Linked DNA regions of Xenopus tropicalis. The protein of the gene in region 1 purifies or fractionates together with the protein of each later gene. This does not show direct contact. Links are inferred from orthologs where the notes say so. Each region holds a gene or a part of one and is shown on either strand. Other genes may lie near its edges.

Evidence for each region. The genes of interacting proteins can lie anywhere in the genome.
Region 2: the proteins of mcm7 (region 1) and cdc6 purify together in Homo sapiens (affinity purification with western blotting; 3 studies listed by BioGRID). This does not show direct contact. The link is inferred for Xenopus tropicalis from reciprocal best matches to the Homo sapiens genes MCM7 and CDC6.

Annotation. Positions count from the first base shown.
Region 1 is NC_030679.2:144,209,787-144,214,214, forward strand, and holds the start of mcm7 (DNA replication licensing factor mcm7), read left to right. Parts: upstream 1-1,569; 5' UTR 1,570-1,607; coding exon 1,608-1,635; intron 1,636-2,002; exon of another isoform or gene 2,003-2,044; intron 2,045-3,813; coding exon 3,814-3,893; intron 3,894-4,428. UniProt on the Homo sapiens protein: Acts as a component of the MCM2-7 complex (MCM complex) which is the replicative helicase essential for 'once per cell cycle' DNA replication initiation and elongation in eukaryotic cells.
Region 2 is NC_030686.2:8,861,750-8,865,376, reverse strand, and holds the end of cdc6 (cell division control protein 6 homolog), read left to right. Parts: coding exon 1-101; intron 102-452; coding exon 453-517; intron 518-1,689; coding exon 1,690-1,901; intron 1,902-2,007; coding exon 2,008-2,148; intron 2,149-2,564; coding exon 2,565-2,651; 3' UTR 2,652-3,117; downstream 3,118-3,627. UniProt on the Homo sapiens protein: Involved in the initiation of DNA replication. Also participates in checkpoint controls that ensure DNA replication is completed before mitosis is initiated.

The DNA.
Region 1 (4,428 bases):
CCCTTAAAAGGAACAACATCAGATCAAATACAAGATGCTCAGTCTACAGCAGGAATTGGTAATCCGGTAACTCCTAGTTACTACTCCCAGTAGGTCACTTTACATAGAGATTATAGAAATTACACTTCTTAGGCTGAAGACACACGGAGCTACTAGTAGCAGCTACTAAACTCCAGAAAATCCCCTGCCATAGACAATACTGAGAATTGCCTCTGCTAAAACACACGTAGAGACAATTATCAGTAAATGATCAGCACTGTCTGTTTTAGTAGCTGCTACTAAGTAGCTCCGTGTGTCTTCTTCCTAAGGGTGAAGACACACGGAGCTACTAGTAGCAGCTACTTGTCACAGCTACTAAACTCCAGAAAATCCCCTGCCATAGACAATACTGAGAATTGCCTCTGCTAAAACACACGTAGAGACAATTATCAGTAAATGATCAGCACTGTCTGTTTTAGTAGCTGCTACTAAGTAGCTCCGTGTGTCTTCTTCCTAAGGGTGAAGACACACGGAGCTACTAGTAGCAGCTACTTGTCACGGCTACTAAACTCCAGAAAATCCCCTGCCATAGACAATACTGAGAATTGCCTCTGCTAAACACACACAGAGACAATTATCAGTAAATGATCAGCATTGTCTGTTTTAGTAGCCACTAGCTACTAGCTGCTACTAGTAGCTCCGTGTGTCTTCACCCTTATAGATTTGAATTAAGACGACGACCCCCTTACAGTGTTCAATCTATTCAGTCTGTCTTCATTCCTACGCAGCGCTGTGTTCTATACAAAATATAGGAGACATTGTTTTTTACAACATGCCCAGTAAGTGGGCTGAAAATGTCTCAGAAAGTGCAATTTTTGCCAAATATTGCCCCTCACCCCTCCTATAGTATGTTATATTTCTGCCCTTTGTATCACCACAGGGAAAAAAAGTGATTTTTCTTTGGCATTGTCACATGATTGCAACTGATTTTAACCAAAGTTGTTCCTAATGACAGCTGGATTCCAATAAATGTGGCCCCCAGGTAAGTGATTTGGGGGCCCTGTCATATTTTACAGAAATACTGAGAGTTGCTGAGCAGGTTTAATATTTTAGTCAATTCCATAAATGGTGGCATTTTACCACACAAAATATTTTCTCTGTGATTAGCTTTAGCCATATAACGCCTCATATCACAGCAGGCCACCTGTTACAGTTTAATTTGCCTCAGAGATAAGAAAGCACAACATTCACCGACAAGCGCAATAACAAAACCCCACACACAAGCGCCACCTCTAAAAGCGCGCCAAAGCATAAGGTTGCAACGCATCCATTACCTACTCTTATTGGTTCACTTACTCTAGGGGGCGGATCTATGTGACCGCAAAGTCGCGTTCAATTGGTTGCGGTAGCGCTAAGTTACGGCCAATCGAGTAACTGCTTTATCCCGCTACGCATCCCATTGGCTACAAGCGCCGTCGCTTCACCGCTCCGCTTCAGTTGTTAGGGGAGGTACAAAGCAAGCGAGCAACCGGCGGCCAATTAGAGCGCAGGGAAAGTAAAAGCCCGCGAAAAGAAGAGGCACAGGCGATCCGGAGAGTGAGGCAGTAGCAGCGCAGCGAGTTACCATCATGCCCAGGGATTACCAAGCCGAGAAAGGTGAGGAGGGGAAGCCGCAGTATCAGTGAGGGGGGCTGGTTAGAGGGAGGGAGCGGAAGCTTGGGGCTCCCTTTATATTCCTGGCTTGTTTCTCCTCACAGCCAGTTCGTTTCCACAGCTCAGAGTTTATGGGGAGTTGTAGTTACACCTCGATAGTGTGCCGTACAGCACAATGACTTTACGACACTCTGCGGAAGGAGAGGCCTATAATGAAGCTGCTTTATGGGGCAGGTTTGCCTGTATCTCCCGGGGCCCCTCTGTGGCGGCAGAATGTGCTGCGGGGTGTATAGGCGGCAGCTACAAGCCTATTGGGCGCAGGTTCCGGACTGGCTGACTGTGAGGCGAGGGGGGGGGGGCGCTGGGTTACCTGTAATGTGAGGGCCCGGGATGTACCATTAGGGCCAGGGAGGGCCCGCTTTACCGGCGCGGAGTAGGGAGCGCTTCCGGTTCTGACGTCACTTCCAGCCCAGGCTGTCACGTGATACAGGGAGTCCCTTTGTGTCCCGGGGCAGCTCCATGCAACTGGCGGGGAGCCGGGAACCCCCGGAACAGGAATGGTATCGCCCGGGGCCGGCCGTTGGGGGCGGGGCTGTAGGGAAAAGCGGACGTTTATTGGATAACGGTTCCATATGGGCAGCGGGCCCTGCGCTGTACCTTCCTACACTGACACAAACATAACTACACTCACTAATGGCCCTGTCCCATACCGCTGATTGGGTCATTTCTTTATTATTATCATGTGTTCTTATAGCACCAACATATTCTGCAGCGCTGTATAGTAAGTGTAGAGTGTAAGCTCTTCTGGGCAGGGCTCCCTTCCCCTCCTGTATCGGTTCCATACATTGGACATACAGAGTAACATATAAAGCAATGAATAACCGATACAGGAGGGGAAGGGAGCCCTGCCCAAAAGAGCTTACACTCTACAAGAGAGCTTAGGGGAAGGGAACCCTGCCCAAAAGAGCTTACACTCTACAAGAGAGCTTAGGGGAAGGGAACCCTGCCCAAAAGAGCTTACACTCTACAAGAGAGCTTAGGGGAAGGGAACCCTGCCCAAAAGAGCTTACACTCTACAAGAGAACTTAGGGGAAGGGAGCCCTGCCCAAAAGAGCTTACACTCTACAAGAGAGCTTAGGGGAAGGGAGCCCTGCCCAAAAGAGCTTACACTCTACAAGAGAGCTTAGGGGAAGGGAACCCTGCCCAAAAGAGCTTACACTCTACAAGAGAGCTTAGGGGAAGGGAACCCTGCCCAAAAGAGCTTACACTGTACAAGAGAGCTTAGGGGAAGGGAGCCCTGCCCAAAAGAGCTTACAATCTACTAGAGAGCTTAGGGGAAGGGAACCCTGCCCAAAAGAGCTTACACTCTACAAGAGAGCTTAGGGGAAGGGAACCCTGCCCAAAAGAGCTTACAATCTACAAGAGAGCTTAGGGGAAGGGAGCCCTGCCCAAAAGAGCTTACAATCTACAAGAGAGCTTAGGGGAAGGGAGCCCTGCCCAAAAGAGCTTACAATCTACAAGAGAGCTTAAGGGAAGGGAGCCCTGCCCAAAAGAGCTTACAATCTACAAGAGAGCTTAAGGGAAGGGAGCCCTGCCCAAAAGAGCTTACAATCTACAAGAGAGCTTAAGGGAAGGGAGCCCTGCCCAAAAGAGCTTACAATCTACAAGAGAGCTTAGGGGAAGGGAGCCCTGCCCAAAAGAGCTTACAATCTACAAGAGAGCTTAGGGGAAGGGAGCCCTGCCCAAAAGAGCTTACAATCTACAAGAGAGCTTAAGGGAAGGGAGCCCTGCCCAAAAGAGCTTACAATCTACAAGAGAGCTTAAGGGAAGGGAGCCCTGCCCAAAAGAGCTTACACTCTACAAGAGAGCTTAGGGGAAGGGAGCCCTGCCCAAAAGAGCTTACAATCTACAAGAGAGCTTAGGGGAAGGGAGCCCTGCCCAAAAGAGCTTACAATCTACAAGAGAGCTTAGGGGAAGGGAGCCCTGCCCAAAAGAGCTTACAATCTACAAGAGAGCTTAAGGGAAGGGAGCCCTGCCCAAAAGAGCTTACAATCTACAAGAGAGCTTAGGGGAAGGGAGCCCTGCCCAAAAGAGCTTACAATCTACAAGTTCTTGTATGTTACATGTGCTTCTGAGGGTTCAGATGACTTACTGATGGCTCCTGTTGGCTTTTCCCTATAGAGAAGTGCAAGACCTTTCTGCAGGAGTTTTACAAAGATGACGAGCTTGGAAAGAAGAACTTCAAGTATGGAGTCCAGCTGGTGAGTGGCTACTGAGGGGTATGGAGTATTCTAAAGCCCCAATATAGTAGGCTTTTCATAGTGTTTTTTGATATATGCTGCACATTGGGTGGCGAAATGTAGCGCAGAAAGGTCAAGAGTTCCAATACTGCAGGTTTTAGTGTCCTCGTGCCTGTACCATGGGTCATAGTATAGCTTATTAAAGAAACGGTAACACCAAAAATACAAAATAATGTACTGTCGCCCTGCACTGGTACAGCTGGGGTGTTTGCTACAGAAACCCTACTATAGTTTATATAAATACCCCGCTGTGTAGCCCCGGGGGCAGCCATTCCTGCACCGGTACAGCTGGGGTGTTTGCTACAGAAACCCTACTATAGTTTATATAAATACCCCGCTGTGTAGCCCCGGGGGCAGCCATTCCTGCACTGGTACAGCTGGGGTGTTTGCTACAGAAACCCTACTATAGTTTATATAAATACCCCGCTGTGTAGCCCCGGGGGCAGCCATTCCTGCACTGGTACAGCTGGGGTGTTTGCTACAGAAACCCTACTAT
Region 2 (3,627 bases), on another chromosome or scaffold:
GTTTCAGGTGACCAGGTTCTGGATAATGCTGCTATTCAGTTTTGTGCCAGGAAAATTTCAGCAGTCTCTGGAGATGCTCGAAAGGCACTAGACATCTGCAGGTACTTATTTATATTCGGATTAAGGTTGAAAGGAATTGCAGCAGCTGGGAAAAATTCATTTACTTGATATTTTCTTTTATATAATAACTAGATAGGTTAGCAGCTACAGTAAACCTGTGTGGGTTTGTTTATGCCAAAACACTATACTTTGCAGTACCATATATTAAGGAATACACAGTAGTGGCTGCATCTTCAGACTTAGGTCTGCTGGAAGCTGCATGCAGTGGGTGGTGCATCGCTTGTATAATCAGTTCCTAGCATGCTCTGGGGAAATGCTGTTGGAAAGCTGCTCTGTTTTGCTGTTTATGCATGTCTTTCCAGGCCATAATCCTTAAATTTTTTTGCTTGTAGGAGAGCTGTTGAAATTGTTGAAGCGGATGTAAGGGGCCAGACTGTCCTCAAGCCGCTAACTGAAAGTAAGTGAATGCTTGTCTCCACTTTGTTTCCCTTTGTGCTTCTTGTTTCCTCCATACCCCATAAAGGAGCTCATTCACATACTGGGAGGATGTTTTAGGTTGCCCCTACCTGTCACAGCTAAAAAAAAATAGACTATTTTACTGATAATTGTGTGTTTTAGCAGAGGCAATGCTCAGTATTGTATATGGCAGGGTATTTTCTGGCATTTAGTAGCCATATTGAGTATCTGCTACTAAGTAGCTCTGTGTGTCTTCACTCAGAGCTTCCTGTTAGATTTGCATTATCTTTGCTGCTATGGAAGTGCTGTAATGCTATTTGTTGCATCAACTTGATAAGAATCCTTGGAACAGGTTAATATATGTAGATCTGAAAAGTGGTAGGAAGTTGTAGAAGACCTAATTATAAGAGCTGTAGTTCAATGTCGTAAATTAGTATTAAACCTAGATTCCATAGATCAGGGATCCCCAACCTTTTTTACTTGTGAGCCACATCCAAATGTAAAAAGTCTTGGAGCAACACAAGCATAAAACATGTTCCTGTGGGTGCCAAATCAGGGCTGTTATTGGCTATTTGATAGCCCCTATATGGACTGGAAGCCTACATAAGGTTCTGTTTGGCAGTACATCTGGGTTTTATGCAACCAAAACTTGCCTCCGAGCAAGGAATTCAAAAATAAGCACCTGCTTTGAGGCCACTGGGACCAACACCCAAGGTGTTTGGGAGCAACATGTTGCTCATGAGCCAATGGTTGGGGACCACTGCCATAGATACAATACGGTCACGCTCAGGGCATCTTGATGTTATAATACACCTTTAAAGTGGGCTTCCAGGGTTATCTCCTTTTTATATATAAATGTCCCTAATTGGCCTAATTACTGTGCTTTCAGAGGACTGTAAGCTCTGCAGAGAACTTCTGTGTCTTACCATGTCACCCTTAATTGTGTATTTGTTCTTATTATGCTTGTTGTCCCTCTATGTAGTTTTCTAGGTTAAATTGTACAGAGCGGTGTATCCTTGTAGCGCTATATGTTATGCATACAATATATGCCTTGCTTAGACACCGTTTCTTAATGCAATAAAATGTAGTGGACATAACTTTTTATTAATGGTCTTCGTGTTTTTTTTTTTTTTTTTTTAACTAAACTAATTGTGCTTTCTTTTTGTCATCTAGGTCTCTCTCCTAGTAAGGAAGTTCCATCAAACCCTGTTCCAAAAAAAGTCAGCCTTCCACACATCTCCCGTGTCCTGTCAGATGTATATGGGGACAAGATGGCAAGCAGTGGGGGGTCAAGCGAGAGCTTTCCCTTACAACAGAAACTGCTGGTCTGTGCCCTGCTGCTGCTAACTCGACAGAGCAAGATCAAGGAAGTCACACTTGGCAAGGTATGTCTGTTTCATGGTGCAGATATAGGTTGTTATATCAACTTTTAAATATTTAAAATATCAAACTTTTGTTCTTTCCTCATATATATTTTTGTCTTCTTCATAGTTGCACGAGGCATACAGTAAAGTCTGCCGAAAGCAGCAGGTTCCCGGCGTTGGGCAATCGGAGTGCCTGTCACTTTGTCAGCTCCTGGAGACAAGGGGCATTCTGGGGCTAAAGAAAGCCAAGGAGGCCCGGCTTACAAAGGTAATTCCATTAGTTATTTTACTTTAGGCTACTTTCATACAAACTACATGCCGCAAAATACCATTTGTTTTAATTAGTTGTATTGTTTTATTATCAAAAAGAGGGGGTTGTGGATAGGGACAAACGGAACCCGCTATTTTGGGATTCGGCCGAACCCTGAATCCTTCATATCCTAACACAAATTAGGCTAGAGAAGCGTTGGAGAACCATGCCCCCTCTTTAAAAAAACAGACTTAAGGTTTTGGTTTGGCTGAATCCCAGATTTGGTGCATCCTTAGTTGTGGAGTTAAAATGCCTTATTTAATTTTTGTTACTGATCAAAAAACTCTGTATCCCCAGTTTATAAATCTGCTATAAACGACTTAAGCAGTTAATGGCAACAGCAATGCTAATAAATTTATTGTTCTTCCTTGTAGGTATCCCTCAAGATAGAGGAGCGGGATATTGAACATGCATTCAAAGATAAAGTTCTGATTGGAAATGTTCTGAATTCGGGGATATAATGTTTTGTTCTGCGTGTATCTCTGATGTAACTTCTGTAAATTTATGTACAATTTTAGCTAATGTATCTTTAGAATTTTATCAGTTTTATTTTTTGGACACGTGACTGTTTACACTTGTGTGGGTACTTTTTTTATTTATAAAGTGAAAAAAATTGCAGGCCCCTTTTTAAAGAACAGGCACTTGGTTTTATCCTATGCCTGGTTGTCTTCCATTTTTCAGCACAGTCATAAGTATGGAGGCTTTAAGTGTCTACACATGAAATAAACTCTAGTGTCTGTTGTAAATAGTTGGCGCTGAGGGCGCTGTTTATAATTTGCTGTCATAGACAGCAATGTTAATGTTTAAGTATCTGTAAGGTACGGTCCTGTTTGTGGTGGTCTCTCGTGGACATGGTGTCTTTATGACCTGGATTATACTTGCGTTTTAATCAAGACTCCTATTTTAATAAACGTTTAAAACATTAAATCTTGTTGTTTTTTATTTGTGGGGGGCCAGGACCAATTCAAATAAAATACAGCCTCATTTTTTTGGGGGGCGGGGGGATAGTTTGAATCATTTTGTATGTTCATGTTCACTCTTATGTGTGGCACTTTGAGTATAATAAAACACACACACAGATAGATAGATATATAGATATATATATATCTATATATCTATTTCAACATTTAGCGCTGAGTGAGACACGTAGGAGGTTCTAGTGCTTTAAAGCTTACAGTAAGTGGGTAGGAAGTTCACACAGGAGGGGAGTAGTGCTCTATTTGACATTGCCAAGACTATCGGTTATGCCAGTGCTCCAAGAGGGAGTTGAGATGTAATGAAGATTCTCTAGGGAGGAATTCAGGGATGAAATTGCAGGGGTAGGAACAACCAGAGAAGTTTATGGCATGAAGCACACAGTGGCATAACTTTGAAACTGCTATCCTGTGGGACAGGCATTTTAGGCAGCAGTGGGGGCTTGGTTAGGGCTCATGGTGG